Linked DNA regions of Canis lupus familiaris. The protein of the gene in region 2 interacts with the protein of the main gene of each other region in a biochemical or structural test. Links are inferred from orthologs where the notes say so. Each region holds a gene or a part of one and is shown on either strand. Other genes may lie near its edges. The genes, in order: SSTR5, GOPC, RPS6KA1 and CRHR1.

The links.
Region 1: the proteins of GOPC (region 2) and SSTR5 form a complex in vitro, tested with the Homo sapiens proteins (2 studies listed by BioGRID and IntAct, with this or other methods). The link is inferred for Canis lupus familiaris from reciprocal best matches to the Homo sapiens genes GOPC and SSTR5.
Region 3: the proteins of GOPC (region 2) and RPS6KA1 interact in a test that uses a peptide from one of them, tested with the Homo sapiens proteins (2 studies listed by BioGRID and IntAct, with this or other methods). The link is inferred for Canis lupus familiaris from reciprocal best matches to the Homo sapiens genes GOPC and RPS6KA1.
Region 4: the proteins of GOPC (region 2) and CRHR1 form a complex in vitro, tested with the Homo sapiens proteins (2 studies listed by BioGRID and IntAct, with this or other methods). The link is inferred for Canis lupus familiaris from reciprocal best matches to the Homo sapiens genes GOPC and CRHR1.

Annotation. Positions count from the first base shown.
Region 1 is NC_049227.1:40,080,499-40,084,253, reverse strand, and holds SSTR5 (somatostatin receptor type 5), read left to right. Parts: upstream 1-1,696; 5' UTR 1,697-1,702; coding exon 1,703-2,800; 3' UTR 2,801-3,022; downstream 3,023-3,755.
Region 2 is NC_049222.1:58,359,748-58,363,908, forward strand, and holds part of GOPC (Golgi-associated PDZ and coiled-coil motif-containing protein), read right to left. Parts: intron 3,255-4,161; coding exon 3,231-3,254; intron 382-3,230; coding exon 206-381; intron 1-205.
Region 3 is NC_049223.1:72,913,983-72,918,907, forward strand, and holds the start of RPS6KA1 (ribosomal protein S6 kinase alpha-1), read right to left. Parts: upstream 2,914-4,925; 5' UTR 2,828-2,913; coding exon 2,693-2,827; exon of another isoform or gene 1,925-2,692; intron 1,904-1,924; exon of another isoform or gene 1,884-1,903; coding exon 1,767-1,883; exon of another isoform or gene 1,513-1,766; coding exon 1,431-1,512; exon of another isoform or gene 1,225-1,430; coding exon 1,144-1,224; exon of another isoform or gene 969-1,143; coding exon 889-968; exon of another isoform or gene 1-888. UniProt on the Homo sapiens protein: Serine/threonine-protein kinase that acts downstream of ERK (MAPK1/ERK2 and MAPK3/ERK1) signaling and mediates mitogenic and stress-induced activation of the transcription factors CREB1, ETV1/ER81 and NR4A1/NUR77, regulates translation through RPS6 and EIF4B phosphorylation, and mediates cellular proliferation, survival, and differentiation by modulating mTOR signaling and repressing pro-apoptotic function of BAD and DAPK1.
Region 4 is NC_049230.1:17,152,821-17,156,981, reverse strand, and holds part of CRHR1 (corticotropin-releasing factor receptor 1), read right to left. Parts: coding exon 4,118-4,161; intron 3,941-4,117; coding exon 3,899-3,940; intron 3,291-3,898; coding exon 3,150-3,290; 3' UTR 1-3,149.

The DNA.
Region 1 (3,755 bases), on a different chromosome or scaffold from region 2:
GAGCTGCTCAGCGGCTGCCGGACCAGCGCCCCCCATGCTTGTGCCCTGTCCTCAGCGTGCCGCGCTCCGGGGGCGCCTCAGCCCCGCTCCCATTCCCCGATTCTCTCTTCAGCTGTATCCAGACCCAAGTCGATTCTGATTTTTTTGGATTTTTTTTTTTAAGTCCAAAGGATTTTTCACACCCAAGAGTTGTAACTTTCAAAAATACACACTTGTTCATTTTACTTCTTAGGCAGCCAAATTTATATCATGATATTTTTATTCGTGCCTTATTGAGGATCCTAAACATATTTATTTATTTTTAAACATATTTATTTAAATAGATCTTAAACATACTTGTCGATTCCTATTACAAGTAGGAACGAGCTATAGCCACTGACCCACCTCCCCATCGCTGGTGCCCTGGGTCGCATCTCCTAGTGTCCCATCACCGAGTGACCTGAGCGGTCGGAGAGTGTCCGCCCAGAGGAGCCGAGGGCACTGACCTTATTCTGAGTCCCCTCCCCCCCCGCCCCCGCTCATCTCCTGGGTCCTGACCAGTAGCCACTGGGGGTGCGCTCCGCTCCGACGTGCCCGGGGGGCCAGCCAGGCGGGGCTCAGGGGTCCCCTGTGCTGCGTGCCCACCGAGGCTCCATCCCCGTCCTCTCCCTCTCGGCTTCCGAGATGCTTGTCTTCTCCTGAGCATCATCACTTGCGTGAACCTTCTCAGACACGCGGAGAAGTACTGATGCTGCGTAAGGGGACATGTGTGCCCATGACCTTGACCTGAGGAGGTTAACGTTCTCTGCTCTTTCTCCATGAAACCCCGCACACGCCCCTTCCCGGTAGCCAGCCCCCCGCCCCCACACGCATTTCCTCCCGACTTGCGGCCCGGGCGTCATTCCATGTGTCCTGTGTGTCCGATGCTGGCTTACGGCTTGTGTGGAGGACCGCCGTCTGCCTGGGCTGCGGAGGTGACGGGTGGGAGCAGGCCCTTGCGGGTGTGGTGGTGGGACCCCGAGCTGTTTCCCACGTTGTGTCCTGGGCTGGGGACATCGCCTGTAGCGGCTGCTCTGGGGGCCGGTAAGCAAGTCCCCCGGGCATCTGCGGGCTCTGCGGGGCTCTCTGGGGATGGCGCTCCTGAGAGCCTGGTGGACGCTGGCAGGGCCCGGGCAGCCTGAGTGTGGCTCCTCAGCCGTGCGGAAGGCCTGGCGCGCTACCCGGGCTCCAGGAGGCCCCCAGGACAGTGGGGCTCGGCAGGTGTACCTGCGCGTCCAGGGGGGTGAGGGGGGGCTTGGCGGGTGGGCCGCCGTCCTTACTTCCTATCACCACCCCCTCCTTCCCCACCCGTCCTGGCGATGACACCCCGAGGCCCCCAGAGGAGACCCTGGTGGCCGAGGCAGGTGGAGGCTGGGCGGGGGCCGTGCTGGAGCAGCCAGGGCCGTAGGGACGCCGTCGGGGGACCCACGGAGGATACGGCGCTGTCCCTCTGCTCCTTCCTCTCTGCGCTTGTTTTCCAAACAATTTGCTTAATGTGACTCCCGGCCGAGCTGGACATGAGTAATCGTGTTTACCCGCCGTGGGGCGATCCCGTGCCTTCCTGGGGCGGGCGGGGCCGCGGGGAGGAAGCACCCTGGCCCGTTAACCGCTCCCGTCCTCCCTTTTCTCTGCAGAGAGGACGCGCCGCGCCTGCGCCCGCCCTGCCCGGCCCGCAGCGGCCGCGATGGAGCCCCTGTTCCCGGCGCCCACGCTGGCCGGCTGGAACGCCTCCTCGGCGGCCCCCGGAGGCGGCGGCGACAACGGGACGCAGGCGGGGTTGGCGCCCTCGCCAGGGGCCCGAGCGGTGGTGGTGCCGGTGCTGTACCTGCTGGTGTGTGCGGCGGGGCTGGGTGGCAACGCGCTGGTCATCTACGTGGTGCTGCGGCACGCCAAGATGAAGACGGTCACCAACATCTACATCCTCAACCTGGCCGTGGCCGACGTGCTGCTCATGCTGGGGCTGCCCTTCCTGGCCACACAGAACGCCGTCTCCTACTGGCCCTTCGGCCCCGTCCTGTGCCGCCTGGTCATGACGCTGGACGGCATCAACCAGTTCACCAGCATCTTCTGCCTGACGGTCATGAGCGTGGACCGCTACCTGGCCGTGGTCCACCCCATCCGCTCCACCCGCTGGCGCCGCCCCAGGGTGGCCAAGCTGGCCAGTGCCGCCGTCTGGGCCTTCTCGCTGCTCATGTCCCTGCCGCTGGTGGTCTTCGCGGACATCCAGGAGGGCTGGAACACCTGCAACCTCAGCTGGCCCGAGCCCGTGGGCCTGTGGGGCGCCGTGTTCATCATCTACACGTCCGTGCTGGGCTTCTTCGGGCCGCTGCTGGTCATCTGCCTCTGTTACCTGCTCATCGTGGTCAAGGTGAAGGCGTCCGGCGTGCGCGTGGGCGCCACGCGGCGGCGCTCGGAGCGCAAGGTGACCCGCATGGTGGTGGTGGTGGTGGTGGTGTTTGTGGGCTGCTGGCTGCCCTTCTTCATCGTCAACATCGTCAACCTGGCCTTCGTCCTGCCCGAGGAGCCCGCCTCTGCCGGCGCCTACTTCTTCGTGGTCATCCTGTCCTACGCCAACAGCTGCGCCAACCCTGTGCTCTATGGCTTCCTCTCTGACAACTTCCGCCAAAGCTTCCGGAAGGTTCTGTGCCTCCGCAAGGGCTACGGCGCCGAGGACGCAGAGGCCACAGAGCCACAGCCCGACAAGAGCAGCCGGCTGCAGGAGGCCATGCTGCCCGCACGCGGCTCCGAGGCCAACGGGCTCATGCAGACCAGCCGGCTGTGAGGGCCGCGGGCGCCTGGCCCCGGGTGGCCCCTGCCCGGCTCGGTCCGGATTGCCCGCCGAGGTGCCCCCCTGCCGCAGCCTGGCTGCTCCATGGAGTGTGAGGACCAGTTGTCTGGGTCGAGACCGTGGGTGGCCCTGCAGTGACAGGCTGTCTCTGCCACCTGCCTGTTCTCGCCGCAGAGGCCGGCTTCAGGGATGGAGGGAGTGGGCGGGAGAGGACGGGTGTCCCAGGCGGGGCTCAGGGCGTTGGTGGCCTGCTACCCTGCCCCCAGCCTGTGCTAGCTGGCCAGGCCGGGGAGTGACCACTGGTGTGAGCTGGTGCCGCCTGCCCTGACTCTGCCCTCCTGTCCCGGTGCCTCCTCACATCCGCCCTGCATGGCCCAGTCCAGTGTGAGTCCGTGACGACAGCTGACCGCACGGGGCTCTGGCCTTGCCCCCAGCGCTCCTGGGACCTGGAGCCGATGGCGGGAGCTGGCTGGTGTGAAGGGGCAAGGCTGTGGGCGGGCGGGGATCCCAGGGCAGACGTCTGGGGCTGCAGAGCTCCGTTACCATGGAGACCCCACAGTCAGGGCTGAGGGGGCAACGAGGGGTGGGCCGGACGCCGAGGGCTCCCTGGTGGGCGTGGGTTGGGGGGGCCGCCGGCAAAGTGGCTGAATCAGGGGTCCGGGGGACACAGGTGTCCAGGGGGCCCTGGCAGAGGGTCCTAGGGCCTCGGAGAGGCCGCCCTGGGGAGGGCCGGGCCCCTACAGCCCCCTCTTCTGCTTCCGCCGGGGGCTCTGGCCTGGCGAGGGTGGGAGACAGAGCAGAGGGAGCGGCTCCCAATGCAATAGCAGCCCTGGGAAGGCAGCGCCGTCCGGGGCACTCAACGCCAGCGAATGCCAGGCCCGGCCTCCCGCCCTGGGAGCCCCAGTGTCTCCCGCCACCCCACCTGCTGGGGTTCCCTGTGCCTTGGGGC
Region 2 (4,161 bases):
AGGAAGGCTGACGCAGGAACTCGATCCTGGGTCTCCAGGATCACGCCTTGGGCTGAAGGCGGTGCTAAACCGCTGAGCCACCCTGGCTGCCCTATAAAATAACTCTTAAGATAAAGATTAATGTTTCATTTACCATAAGAGGTAAGAGTCAACCTCACTAAATATCTAGCTACTTAAGAATACAAGGCACTCATTTTTTACACACCTTCCTGCCAGTTCCTTATCCAAGTACTTGGCAGCCAGTCTTGCCCCATAAACTTCAGCCTGGAGAACAGCTATATGTCTACGAAGGGCTTCATTCTCTTTTCTCAACAACTTCACTTCAGCTTCAAGTTGAGCTTCTTTCATTTTTTCTTTTTTGTTTGCTTCCAGCTCTCTCTCCTATTTAAAACACAAAAACAAAAACAAAAACAAAACCCACGCACAATGTAATGAAAATACTTTTTTAAGGCTTTTTAGCAACATACCATGTTTCTCAAAATACATAAAAGCGCACAGTCTGTTACAATACCAACAATGAAAGCATATGATAAAAGTTACCATTTCTATAAAATGGAGCATACAAAGATTTGGATCCAGTTCTTTTTAACTAGTACCAGAAGGTGTTGGGACCACTTCCACATAAGATAATTTCATGCCTTGGGGTACTCTGACACTGAGGATACTAAAATAATTAGTATTTTCTAAGCTTATGTCATCATACACTAATAGGAGTGGTTGCAATGAATAACTGAATCTTCTCCCTATTTATTTTCTAAAAATGACTCAAGAAACTAGACTAAAATAAAAAAAAAATCACTCTGGTGGCTGTATCCAAACACTTAATTAACTTTAAAGCAATAATTCTATAAACAAGTCAAAATTCTTCACTTACATAGATTCCATGGTTAATTTACCTTAGAGGACTACCAGAAACTTAAACTGCTTAAATTAGAACAGATACTCTAATTTTTTTTTAAAGAATGTTTGATGGTAATGGAAAAATGCTGGTAACAAACGTACTGAAAAATTTATACATTAAAAAATTTCTCTGCATGACCATATCTATGGTACAGATTATCACTGATTTTGGGGATGTGATTCATCTATCCCTATGTCAAAGTGAATGAAGTAAAATAAATGTTTGTGGAGGAAAACAGGGCCCTCCCTACCTGCCTTCTAGGAGGTAGGATGGACATCCATTTTTAATTCTCATAAAAGAATGCTCTACTTGGTAGAGAGTCTATATATGTGAATTACAGGTGTTAGCTAGAGTATAAAACCTCAAGATCTTTGCCATCCAATTTTTATCACAAGCTTACATATGAGAAATAATGTTCAATTTACCTTAAAAGTATAAAGTACAATATGTCTACTCCTACAACTCAGGGGTGACCAATGTAAATGCCTTCAGGGACCCAAGCACAAAACAGACCAATACAAGACAAAGTCGAGTGGAAAATGGAAGGTACAAAATCCCTGCCTAAAGGCAGTCAAACTCAAATACACAAAAGCTCTGTGGCCAAATAAAACTCTTCCAAGAGTTGAATAAGGGCCCTGATAGATATTTTAAGTGTTGTTTTTGGATTAACAAAACACTGTAAACTTCCATTTATTCTGAGTAGAAATGTTTTTACTGCCTTATAGAACTGCTTTTACCGATTTACTGATAAACAGAATCTATAAATCCTGTGTAAATGTGGTTGTATCTGTTGATGAGATGTGGAAGAAACTGTTCACCCTGTCCCCTTTGTGAGACTTAAATAAAGGTCTTGCTCAGCACCAGAAAAAAATGCTTCTCTTGAGCAAACGACAAATGATACTGTTTCTATTTGTATGGGTACTGATTATTGTAATTATTTCCCTTTTTATTCTGGGTAGTAAGCTGAGAAACAAATTCAAACAAACCTCTAACAATTCTGGAATATACTTTGGTACTAATCTAATGTCTGCTTTGGTCTACTGTTTTCTCAATAGTATATCAATAAATGATACACTAAAACATCAATATATGACATATTCAAATATAAGGCAGTGAGTACCACAGTCTTAAACACAAAAAAATAATATACAAGCTAAAATGAGTCATTACCAAATGGTAGATATATTTACTGCCTCTTTGATTACTGTTTTTCAAGAATCTGAAGAATAATCTAGAATCCTCCTTTTACAACTTTAGAATTATTAAAATTGCAATTTATTTCAGAGCATATTTCTTGAAAGGCAAGAATCAGTTCCAAAAAAACTCCACAGTTTAGATAACATGAACAATAAGCTTTCTTATGACATTTACTGAAGTTAATGCTATTTGTTTCAGAAAAAAAGTTCCAGAAGACCAAGTATTCTTTGGTTTATGGGCTAAATAAACTTTACATTGATATTTGTCTATGTACAATTGCCCTGATAACCTATTTATACAGTATTTATGGAATTTACAAAACACATATTAAGTCACCACTTTGCTTTCATGATTCAAACACCTAATGATTCTGACAAACTGTCAGGCCTGAAAATAACATTCGCAAACATGAATAGGACTAAGAAAACTGAAGTTAATCTTTTTAGTTTTTAAAGAAAAAAAATATGAATCTTTAGTTAGCCCATTTATTAGGTAATAAGCAAGAAGCTCATTTTGTATTTAGAGAGCCAAACAGTGTATTTTCAAAAGAAATAAAGCCATCAGACAAACTGGAACCTGATTAGGTTAGCATAGTGAGGAAAATATTAAGAATTTATACATTGTTATTTTCTAAAATAAGTTCTGGCAAAAAGTTTCAAAATTCAGTTGTTTCAAAGGCCACACAATTATTCCAAGACTGCTAAAAAGTTGTGACACATGCAGAAGATGAATACGAAACCAACATGCACATTCTTTCTCTGGGGATAAGTTCAAATAGAAAAAGAGAAAAAAGCTAGGTGTTCTTAATATATCTTCAAAATACTCAAGTGGGAAAACCAATTGCTCTTTTGAAGTAGAGGTTTCAACAAGTTACAAGGCTTAAAAGTTGTCAAAAATGGATGGGCTCTGTAAATAATGGTTATAAATCACAAACAAAAGAAAAATCTTTCACAACGTGTACTGAGAAAAGAGCAATGGGCCACCAACTGAACTTTTCAGGTACTGGAAGATTAAAAAACTATCATCATGAACATCACATCCAAATACAAAGTGACAACATATAATATGCAAATAAGACAATAAGAACACTTCAGCGTAACGTATTAAAGCCAAACAGAAACAACATACTTACCAGCTCCTCCACAGAGGGGACAGACTTAAGATATAAGAAAAAAGTTTGATAATTAGAAAAATATCAAACAAATGAATTTATCTAGTGGTATAATCATTATAAGGAAAACTCCCATACGTTGAATATCATTTGGGTAAAGTTCATTAGAACAAATATATTTGCAAATCCATAACCTACAGTAACTACACAGTGTTAGATTAAAACTTTTTGTTTTACCAAATTAGTCAGCTCACCTGGTTCAGTGCCTTCTACTACAGCACCCTGCTTCAGATCTAACATTAAAACTTCAAGTAAACTCTTTTCTAGTGAAAATGTATACACTGTTTCTCAACGTAAACATCAAATATCCCAAAAAAGCAGTGAGAAATCTGACTCATTTCAGTTAAAGAGAACAAGGTTACTAACTTAGATTCATAGAATTTCTGAATTTAAAAGATTTAAGGAGAATGGAAATATTCATTTAAATAAATTCTAACAAGTAAAATTTAAAAATGTATGACTATCATCATCCTCATTTCATTTCCTGCCTCTCCCAAGCTATATCTATCTTACTGCTGTGTCCCCTATGGTCAACCAAGTGTCTGGCACATACTTGCACACTTAACAAGTACGAGATTAAGCTGAAATGAGACTTAAAAAATTTTTCTACTTATATTAAGAGGGCAAAGGTTACTTATGGAAAATGTATATATAATACATTTATATTATACAAACATTACAAAATGTTCAATGGCAGAAAAAAATGCTCATAAGAGCAATAGGAAAAAATATGCCAGTGGTTGGCACCCAATTCCATTTTCAACTCCAGTTTCACAAGAGGTGGCCACGTGACCAACTAAGAGGCTGAAATGCAAGTTGGGATAGCCAATGAGATGGCTAACTTGACGGGCAAAAATTGTTGAGGAGGATTTCATGAAAAATTCTTTAGAAC
Region 3 (4,925 bases), on a different chromosome or scaffold from region 2:
CTGCTTGGAAATAGCAAAAGGGTTGGAAAGAGCCCAACGGTTGAGCAGAAGACTGGAATATATTGTCTCTCCCGTGCATGATGGAGTGCTATGCAGCCATAAACTAGGACAAGGAGTCTCTCCATGTTCTGATATGGATTGATCTCTAAGATACATCATCTCGAACAAGGCAAGATGCAGAACAGTATATACAGGGTAGTACTTTTTGTAAGGAAATGGGGGTTGGAATTCAGAACATGTATCAGAATGGTTTGTATTACTAAAGAAACCTGGGGCACTTAACCAAGAAATCAATAAAAATGTTTACCTATGGGGGCATAGAGGGATGGGGTGGGAGGAAGACTTCTCAATATTTTTATTTTCAATCATGTAAACGTATTACCTATTCAAACACTAAAATAACATTTAAATTTTTTTAAAAGCGTGTTTCTCTTCTCAAGTTTGACTTATATTAATGGTCCCATTTTAATATCTGGCTCAAATTCTTTTATGTCAGTTAAAATCCTTTTGGTTAACACATGGGACATAATGTTAAAATATCTAAATTTCTGGGCAGATTTGGATTTCTTCCCATCCTCACAGCCCTGCCTAGGGCAACCTCGGAAGAATGGAGGTACAGAGGTGAAAGAACCCTCAGCTCCTGGGAATCAGAGTGGCATCAGAACCATGGCCTGATCCTCCTCCTCCATCCTGGGAGAAACTCTGAGGCTTTGCCAGGGTGTACGCTCTGTCCCAGAGTGGGTTCCTAGGTCGGGTCTGCGGGGCAAGCCTGAGTGGTCCCAAGTCCAAGCCACACTGGACATGTTCTTCACTGAGCCCTGGGACAAGAGGTCTCGTTGTCCCTCCAGCTCCAATCCGGGGCCCAATGGCAGTCAAGTGTCAGCTTACCTCTTTAGAGAGCCGGGTAAAGAGGTCTCCACCACGCAGGAAGTCCAGGATAAGATAGAGCTTTCCCTCCGTCTGGAAGGCTGGGGAGAGGGAAAAGGCAATGGTGGAGCCAGCTGGGCCCTGGGCCCTGCCCCTCTACCCTAAGCTCCCTTTGTCTGCTGGGGTAGGGGTGACCTAGGGGAAAGGTAGTAGCCCACAGGCAAGGGCAAAGGCTGGTAGGTCGGGTGGGAGTTCAAGTAGGGTCTGTGATCTCACCATAGTGCAGCTTCACCACAAATGGGTGGTTCACATCTGCTAGGATGTCTCTCTCCATCTTGGTCCGAACGCGGTCACGCACTGGCCAGAAGAGAAACGCAGTCACAGATAATCTAGCCCCTCAAAACAGTCATCCCCAAGCCCTGGCCAAGAAGGGCTCTCTCTTTCATGTGTCCCTCCCATCTCACGGCAGTGCCCAGAGTAGAGCCCTTGGCACCCTGCCCATCCCACTAGTCCCATCTCCTGTGCCCAGTTCGGCTCTGCTTGGGGAGGTGACCTTCACTCACCTTTCAGCGTTGCCTTCTTTAGTACCTTCATGGCATACAGGTGCCCACTATCAGGTCGGGTGATTTTCCGCACTAGGAAGACCTGAGAAGGCAATGGGAAAAAGCAGAGAAATTGGGGAGGGGACTAAGCCTATCAGCTCCTATCCTCTGGGTCCTAGGTTGACCTCTAATTTTCCAGAGTCCTAGGTTGACCTTCGGGCCTCCCTGGGTACCAGAGTGACCTCCTGCCCTCCCCTCAGACCCATCAACCCTTGCCCTCTGATCCTGAACCCCAAAGTGACCCCTAACCCCCACCTCTGACATGAGTTGCCCTCCCAGTTTGGGCTCAGGACTCACTTTGCCAAAGGATCCCTGGCCCAGAACCTTGAGCAGCTCAAAATGGGATGGGTCGGCCTTCTCAGAGCCAGCCTTGACATGGTGCGTGATGGAGATCTCCTTTAGGACGCCCTCATCCTGATGGAGGAACAGAGCTGGTGAGTATGGTTGTCCCATCCAGGTGAGCAGGGAATATGGTCCCCATCCTAGCCTACTCCTCCTGGAGGCAGGGCCCTGTTAGCCATACCAGATGGCCATACTGATGGGGCCAGCCTGCTGGTTCATCAATACCAAAAGGGCCTCAAGGGCCAGGGATGGTCAAACTACCAAGGTGCTGAGTCAGGGGGAGGCACTGCTCCTACTGCCCCTGCTGCTCTGACCTGGTGAGACCCAAAGGGATACCCAGGCACAGCCCAGGTCCTGCCTGTGGGACTCCCCTCCCCCTGCTGCAAAGGTGTTAGTTTTGCCACAATAGGAAGTAGTGTGTATTCTCATACCGGGGAGGTAGAGCCAGGCTTTTGTTCCGGGTCAGAATGGATGAGAGGATCCTTGGCCAGAAGGACAGTGCTCAGATGCACAGACACTCAAGAGTCACTAGAGACCACCCCCACCAACCCAGTAAGTGCCAGTCAGGGGTGGACAGGAGCTAAGGCCGAGACTCCATGATCCACTCTTTGAAACTTCCTTCTAGGAGTTTTCTAAAAATCCGTTGCTGGTCCTAGTTGTTCTAGGACCCTTCTGCCCTCCCTCCAATCTGCCGGGATTGCCCTGGAGCCCTGAAGTGCTTCCTCACTTCCCCAGGAAGCAAGTCTGGGCAGGGTCCAGTTGTCCAGTAGGGCCAGGCCTGGGCTAGGAGAGCCGGAAGCCAACTAAGGCCAAACTAGCTGCCCAGGCACCTGCTCCAAGGACCACAGCTGGGCCAGGACCACACATCTGGGCACACTCACCAAGTCCCGCCTGGGGCCAGAGCCAGGGCCAGGGGCAGGCAAAGAGGTCTGGCTGGTCCTGGGCCGCTGCTTCCTGGGCAGCCAGGGGAGCAGGGCCCAGAGCCGCAGGCGGGGCGGCTTGGGATCCTGCTCCATTCGCCCGGCAGGGCCAAGGCACCATGGCAGGAGCAGGCAGCGTCCGGGGCTGCCTCCGAGGTGGCCGGGCCCAAGGCGGATGTGCAGGGTGAGGGCGGGGGCTGGGCCCAGCTCAGCACCGCCAATCACTTAGGGCCTGTGGTTTCCCAGCTCCAGGCCTACAATCTTACCACGTTCCCTTCCTCTCTTTTGCCCCCCTCCCCGTTGCCTGAGTGCTGCCCTCCGGCCCTCCCCCTTCCCCCATCCTCCCTGTGGGCCTACAAAGGGAGAGCCCCATGCCACTCCAGCTGCTGAGGGGGAGACAGGTACCCAACAGGCAAAGACTGGCATCTAACATGCAGAGGCAGATAAAGAGGGACACCCAACAGATAGAGGCAGGCATCAACAGGTAAAGACAGACCAAGGTAGGCATCCAACAGGCAGAGGTGGGAGGGTACACATGCCCACCAGGCAAGGATGGATAGGGACACATACCCAGCAAAGGGAGGTAGGAAGAACACTTACCCAATGATCAGAGACAGATGGGGACATGTACCCACCGAAACAGAGGCAGGAGGGAACTCATACCTGACAGGTAGAGGTGCATGGGGCATATATCCAACAGGCAGAGACAGAAGGGGACGTGAACTCAACAGGCAGAGACAGATGGGGACCCAACAGGCAGAGGCAGATGGGGGTTTGCATCCAACAAGTGGAGACAGATGGGGACATGTACTCAACAGGCAGAGACAGAAGGGGACACCACCCAACAGGCACCCAACACGTGACATGTACCCAACAGGTGAAGACAGGCACTCATCAAGTGGCAAGAGACAGGAACCCGACAACAGAGGCAGGTGGGACACAGAAAGAGAAAGCCAGTCAGTAAGGCCCAAGTAGACTGACAGATACCCAGGCCAGTGCACAGAAAGCCAGGCCCGGAACTCAAGGGCAGAGCTCTGGGTTCTTGCTAGTCTTCTGGGAGGTGGGGTGGGGGAAGAGGTGAGGGGATATCACCTGCAAACATCCTGCATCTTAGAGAGCAGCCCAGTATTCATGGCAGACACACCTCTGAGGTTTCATCCCATGCCAGGGCCTGGAGAGGCCCCAGGACTAACACAGTGGGCTGAGAATGCAGTCTGATGGCTTTGACTCTGATCCAGGTTTCCCAAATCTGTTATCCCCATTTCAGATACAGGAAACCAAGGGCCAGAGGACCGTGACTCACCCAGCCTGAGAATGGACCAGTGACAGAGCCAGTGACACTCAAACCCTTCCCCTAGTTACTGCCTGGCATGGGGTCAGCAGGCCTCAAGTGCCAGGAAAGGGTGAGCAGGTAAGTCAGCGAGAGCCATGCCCTGCCCATCCAAGCCCATCCCCTCCCTCAGTACCGGGATCAGTCCAGGGACTTCCCATTCTAGGTCTAGGACCCGACAGACACGGCCCCATCTTCAGGGGACCTCAGAGAGCCACAAAAGCTACAGTCATAAGAAGCTACAGGCTCTTCAGGCCCCTGAGCATAACCCTGGGTGGGACATAGGGATTGAGGTGAGCCAAGGCCACACAGCAACCCTTGCCCACCCCGCCCTGAGGTTTGAGCCTCTGCTTGCCTGCGTCTGAGAACACTCCCTGGGGACAGAAGCAGTCACCCGGAAACCCCAGGGGACAGAGCCACTCCCAAACCCATTCCTTGCCCAAGGCCATGGTGACAAGACATTGCTGGAGGCAGACCAACCCTCTGCTCACCTTTCTGGGATAGGGGAGTGTGTCTCTCTCACCCCTGGGGAAATCTGCCGGGGTCTGCATGGTGGGGCTCAAGCCGGTGGCCAAAGGGCCCCGTTATTCCTCTACTTCTGCTTTTTCAGCCTTCCTGGCCCAGAAGGCAGGGTCCCTGACCCCCTCCTTCTCACTTCCCCTCTGCAGAGAGGAGGGACAGAAGATGGGTCAGGCTCCCCTGCTGAGGAGGGGACATTATAGACCCAAGCCCATGACCCCAGGGGGACCCCAAGGAGAGAGCCCTCCTCACCTCCTCTGATCCTAAGGAGGGGAGACTAGAACACGGATGAAAGTCACAAGATAATGAGGTGGTGACACACTGGGCATCCCAGCACCTGCAAAC
Region 4 (4,161 bases), on a different chromosome or scaffold from region 2:
AAAGGATTATACAGATTGCAAAGCAGTTTACAAATGCCCACAATTAAGGTGTTATTACCTGGATTCTAAAACCTCCCTGCCTCCTTAGCACATGTTTTCCCACATCTGGCTCCCTCCCCTGCCCTATCCTAGGGCATCTGACCCAGCAGCAGCAGGAGGACTGAGGAGGCCTGAAGGGGATGCTGAGGACCCCAGGGCAGGGGCCTGTCATCACACTTAGAGGTGGAGGAGCCCGAAATGGAAACCACACAGTGGGGATTTTCCTCCCCTGGGGATCTGTGCCCATGAAGGAGGGTCCCAAGGAGAAACGGGCTCGGATGGGGTACTCCAGGGGACTGTGGCCTCCAGGCTTGAGGGAGCGGTCTGTCCTGCAGTGACCCCCTCCCCCTGTGGTTGCCAGGCCTCTGCCCCAGCACAGTGGCATGTGTATCCATCCCTTATACCCTCAGGCTGAACCTCAGGGAACAATGACCCTCAGAAACCCCATCTGGGGGCCTGCCTTCACCCTGCTTCCTGAGCCCTGGGCTGTGACAGGCTTATACCCTGGGCACCTGCCCTCCCCCACCCCCGCAGAGGAGTTACAGTTCTCTGGGGCCCAGATGTTCCTGAAGCAGCCCCTCCTCCCTTACAGTCTCTGAATGGGAGGTGTCCTGAGGCTCATCTGGACCAGCCCCTGCCTGCCCCCCACTTCCCCCAGGAGCTCCTCTGATGACTGTCAGCCCCGTCCTGGAGGTGTCCTCTGATGGCTTTCAAGACCCGGCAGCTCCAGGCTTTGCAGTTGGCTGCTGGCACTCATCTCGGGGGGCTACTCATCTCCCCGCCTTGTGCTGGGCCTGGCAGTTTCGAATGCACAGTAGGTGCTTGGAAGGAGGCACAAGCAGAAGGGACACTGCCTCAGCTTGCCCCCCACCCAGGACCTCTTGTCCAAGCAACCTCCTTACAATGTCCTCTCCTCCTCCTCCCAGGCTGCTCTGTCCTTGGGGAGCCCTGTCCCCACAGCCCAACTCGTACAGGAGAAGCCTTGCTTTCTCACTTCTTCACTGGGCGAATAACAGTTGAGAAAGATGCCTCAATTGTGGCCCGTTTGAGATTCCTCAGGCACTTCTGGTCCCTTCCTGGGGCCATCAGCCTGTCTCTGTCCTGGTGCCTCTGGTCCCCTCCCCGAGTCCCTGGTCCCTGTGTGCCAGGGTGGAGTTTCCACGTCCCACCCCCTCTCCTGCCCTCAGGCTGCCTCCCACCACACCCTGCTGTGCCTGTGCACGCTCCCTCAGTGTGTATCTCTCTCTCTGTGTCTCTGTTGTCATGTGGCCCCTGTGCTCCCTACCCCCGGGGGCAGCCTTCCTCCCCTGTGGCCCCTCAGGTGGGCTGAAGGCGGGGATGCCCCCTCGGGCTTCTGCAGTAGGATTATGCTCCAGCTGCCCCTAGTAGTGGCTGTGGTGTGGGCACCCCTGCTCCGGCCGCCTCCCTGGCCTGGCCTCCCGCCCCCACCCGCTCCCCGTGCTCCCCTTCCCTACTTGGTTCTGGAAACCTTGTCTCTGGCTCTGTTTCTGGGGCTCTCAAGCTGAGACAGTGTCAAGGCCTCCTTAACTCTACTTCCTGCTTCCAGCTTGGCCCTTCCCTTGGGGCTGGGAGACATTCCTGCCTGGTCCCATTGCCACACCTTGGCTAGAGCTGTCGCCATGGGCCCTGACCCCTCTAGTGTCCTTGGCCAGCACTGCTCACCTGTGGCCCTTCTCTCCCTATGACTCATCCCTTTTAAGAGCCGTCCTTGTCAGCTGCGTCCGCAGGCCCATGCCCCCAGTGGCTCACCTAGCACCCCATCGGGATGGGTGTGAATGGTGTCAGGTTTCCCAGCCACAGGCTGGCTGGCCCCAGACTGAAAAGTGGCCTCCATTTCTCTGCTGTGCCCTTCCCACCCAACCCCGCATAGTCCAGACCTTCACAGATGCTGGTTGAAAAGATAAATATTATTATTTACAGCAGCCACCCCCTCACAGCTGACACCTTATCTCCCAAGGCCTGGCTCCAGTGGCCCAGTACTCTGGACACAGGAGGGTCCAGTGGGGGCTGCTGATTGCCCCGAGAACCAGTTGTCTTGCTCCAGGACACTCAGGCAGAGAGGATCCAAGTCCCCTGCCCCTTCTATCTTTGCTTAGCTAATCATGCTGCTCCAGAGGTCATCCAGGCACCAGAAACCCCCTGTACCCAGTAGAGAGGCTGCCCCAGATGCCAGACCACTGACACCAGCAGGCAGGATGGCCCAGAGCATTCTCTGTTCTCTAAAAGGGAGACTGGCTTTGGCTGGGGCACACCCTGGTTCTTGCTCACAGGACACTCCATCTCCTTCCAACCCCCACTTCCCACACAGGGGGAGACACCAGGGGCAGGAGGTGACACATCAGGGTGTGGGTATTGTGGGTGGTTAAGGACCGGGGCGGGGGGCTGAGTGGCCTGCAGGGCATAAAGGTCCAAGGGTACAAGGCAGCGAGACAGGGCATTTCTGATGGCAGTGCCACAGTGCCAGATGAAATTATGGTGGCTTGGGAGGATTTCTTGTGGTGTGGCCTACTGTCTGATGATGTCACCTGGTTTCTAATGACATGGCCAGGGCTTTCTGGTGACCTGGCTTTGGTTCCCACTGGTATTAGAAGGCATTGCCAACACCCAGAGGCATCATCACGGTGGTTGGGATGCTGTCACAGGAGTTTCCCATGATGCTCCTAGGGCAGCAATTGGTGCCTTGCAGTTGCTGAGGACAGGCCCCAGGTCTCCAGGAGGCTGGCCATCTTGTGCTCTGGGAGAAGACGCCTCTTGGAAGGACCTCTGTGCTGCCTTGGATTTTCTGGCTGGCCATCTCCACTCCATTCTCATTCCATCTCCGGGGAGGACTTGGGGCACAAGGGAGCCAGAGGCCCTGGGCCCAGCCCAATCCTATAGGTTATTTCCCATTCATCCCATGGCCCAGACTATGGCTGCTCTCATAGGCCTAGAACTCCTGCTCATTCCGGGGCCGGGGGGGTGGGGTGGGGCCCACGCTGTCAGTGCCAGATGCTTCTGGGGATACAGATTGTGAGAAGGATTTGGTCCCCTCCATAGATAGGGCAGCTGGCCAAGCCTGGAGACCATCTTCCGCTCCGTGGCCCTCCAGCTCAGACTGCCGTGGACTGCTTGATACTGTGGAAGCTGACACGGGTGGGAGAGGTGGGGATGGACATGGCGCGGGCCACGCGGGCACGGATCGAGTGCTTGTCCTGCCATCGATGCCACCTCTTCCGGATGGCAGAGCGGACCTGTGGGCACAGAGCAGAGCATGGTGTCTGAGCCTGGATCTCAGGACTCCCTTCCATCCCCTAGGGCTGCCACAAGCAGCAGTACACGTGAGCAGTCTGCAGGCGTGCAGTACGCAGGTGTGAAACGCAAAGGGGGCCACACAGGAGGAGGTGCCATGCATGTCATCAACATTATTTGCCTATTTGTTAGGATGATTTTTGCAAGTATTCTGAGAAGAGAAGACTTTTTCCCATCCACACAGAGGCACCGATGGCCTTTGCCACAAAGAATTCCTACCTTCAGCACATATGCATGCCCTGCCCAAGGGCTTAGCCCTTCCTGTTTTCAACAAGCATTTTCACAGACTCATCGATGGGACTGAAGCCCTGACTTCTGACTCCCTGTGCCAACTGCCTATGGGAGCAAAGCAGTGGGCTTGCCACTATAGGAGCAGTGTGGGCAGGTGTCAGGGGCCCTCCTGGGGCTCCTGGCTGCATCCTCATTAGGGACCTGGGGGCAGGGAGGAGGAGCTGGCATGTGGAGGGCAGGAGGAGGCTATAGACAATCTCAGGTCCCAGAAGTCCCCCACCCCCCACCATCCTGAGCTCTGGGGCCCCGGCATCCTTACCTCACTGTTGAGGAAACAGTAGAATACAGACACAAAGAAACCCTGGGGTGGACAGAGAAGGCGGGTCAAGGCACAGGGACAGGTATGGCCCCACCTAGCCTCCGGGCCACCCCCTTCCTCTCCACAGCCTCCACCCCTCCAGACCCTTGTCTGAAAGAATCCCCACCCAAGCAAGTGCAGAGCACAGCCAGGGCCAGAGTGAGGGGTGGGTGGCAGTACCTGGAAGGATTCTAGGAAGGAGTTGAAGTAGATGAAGATGACCC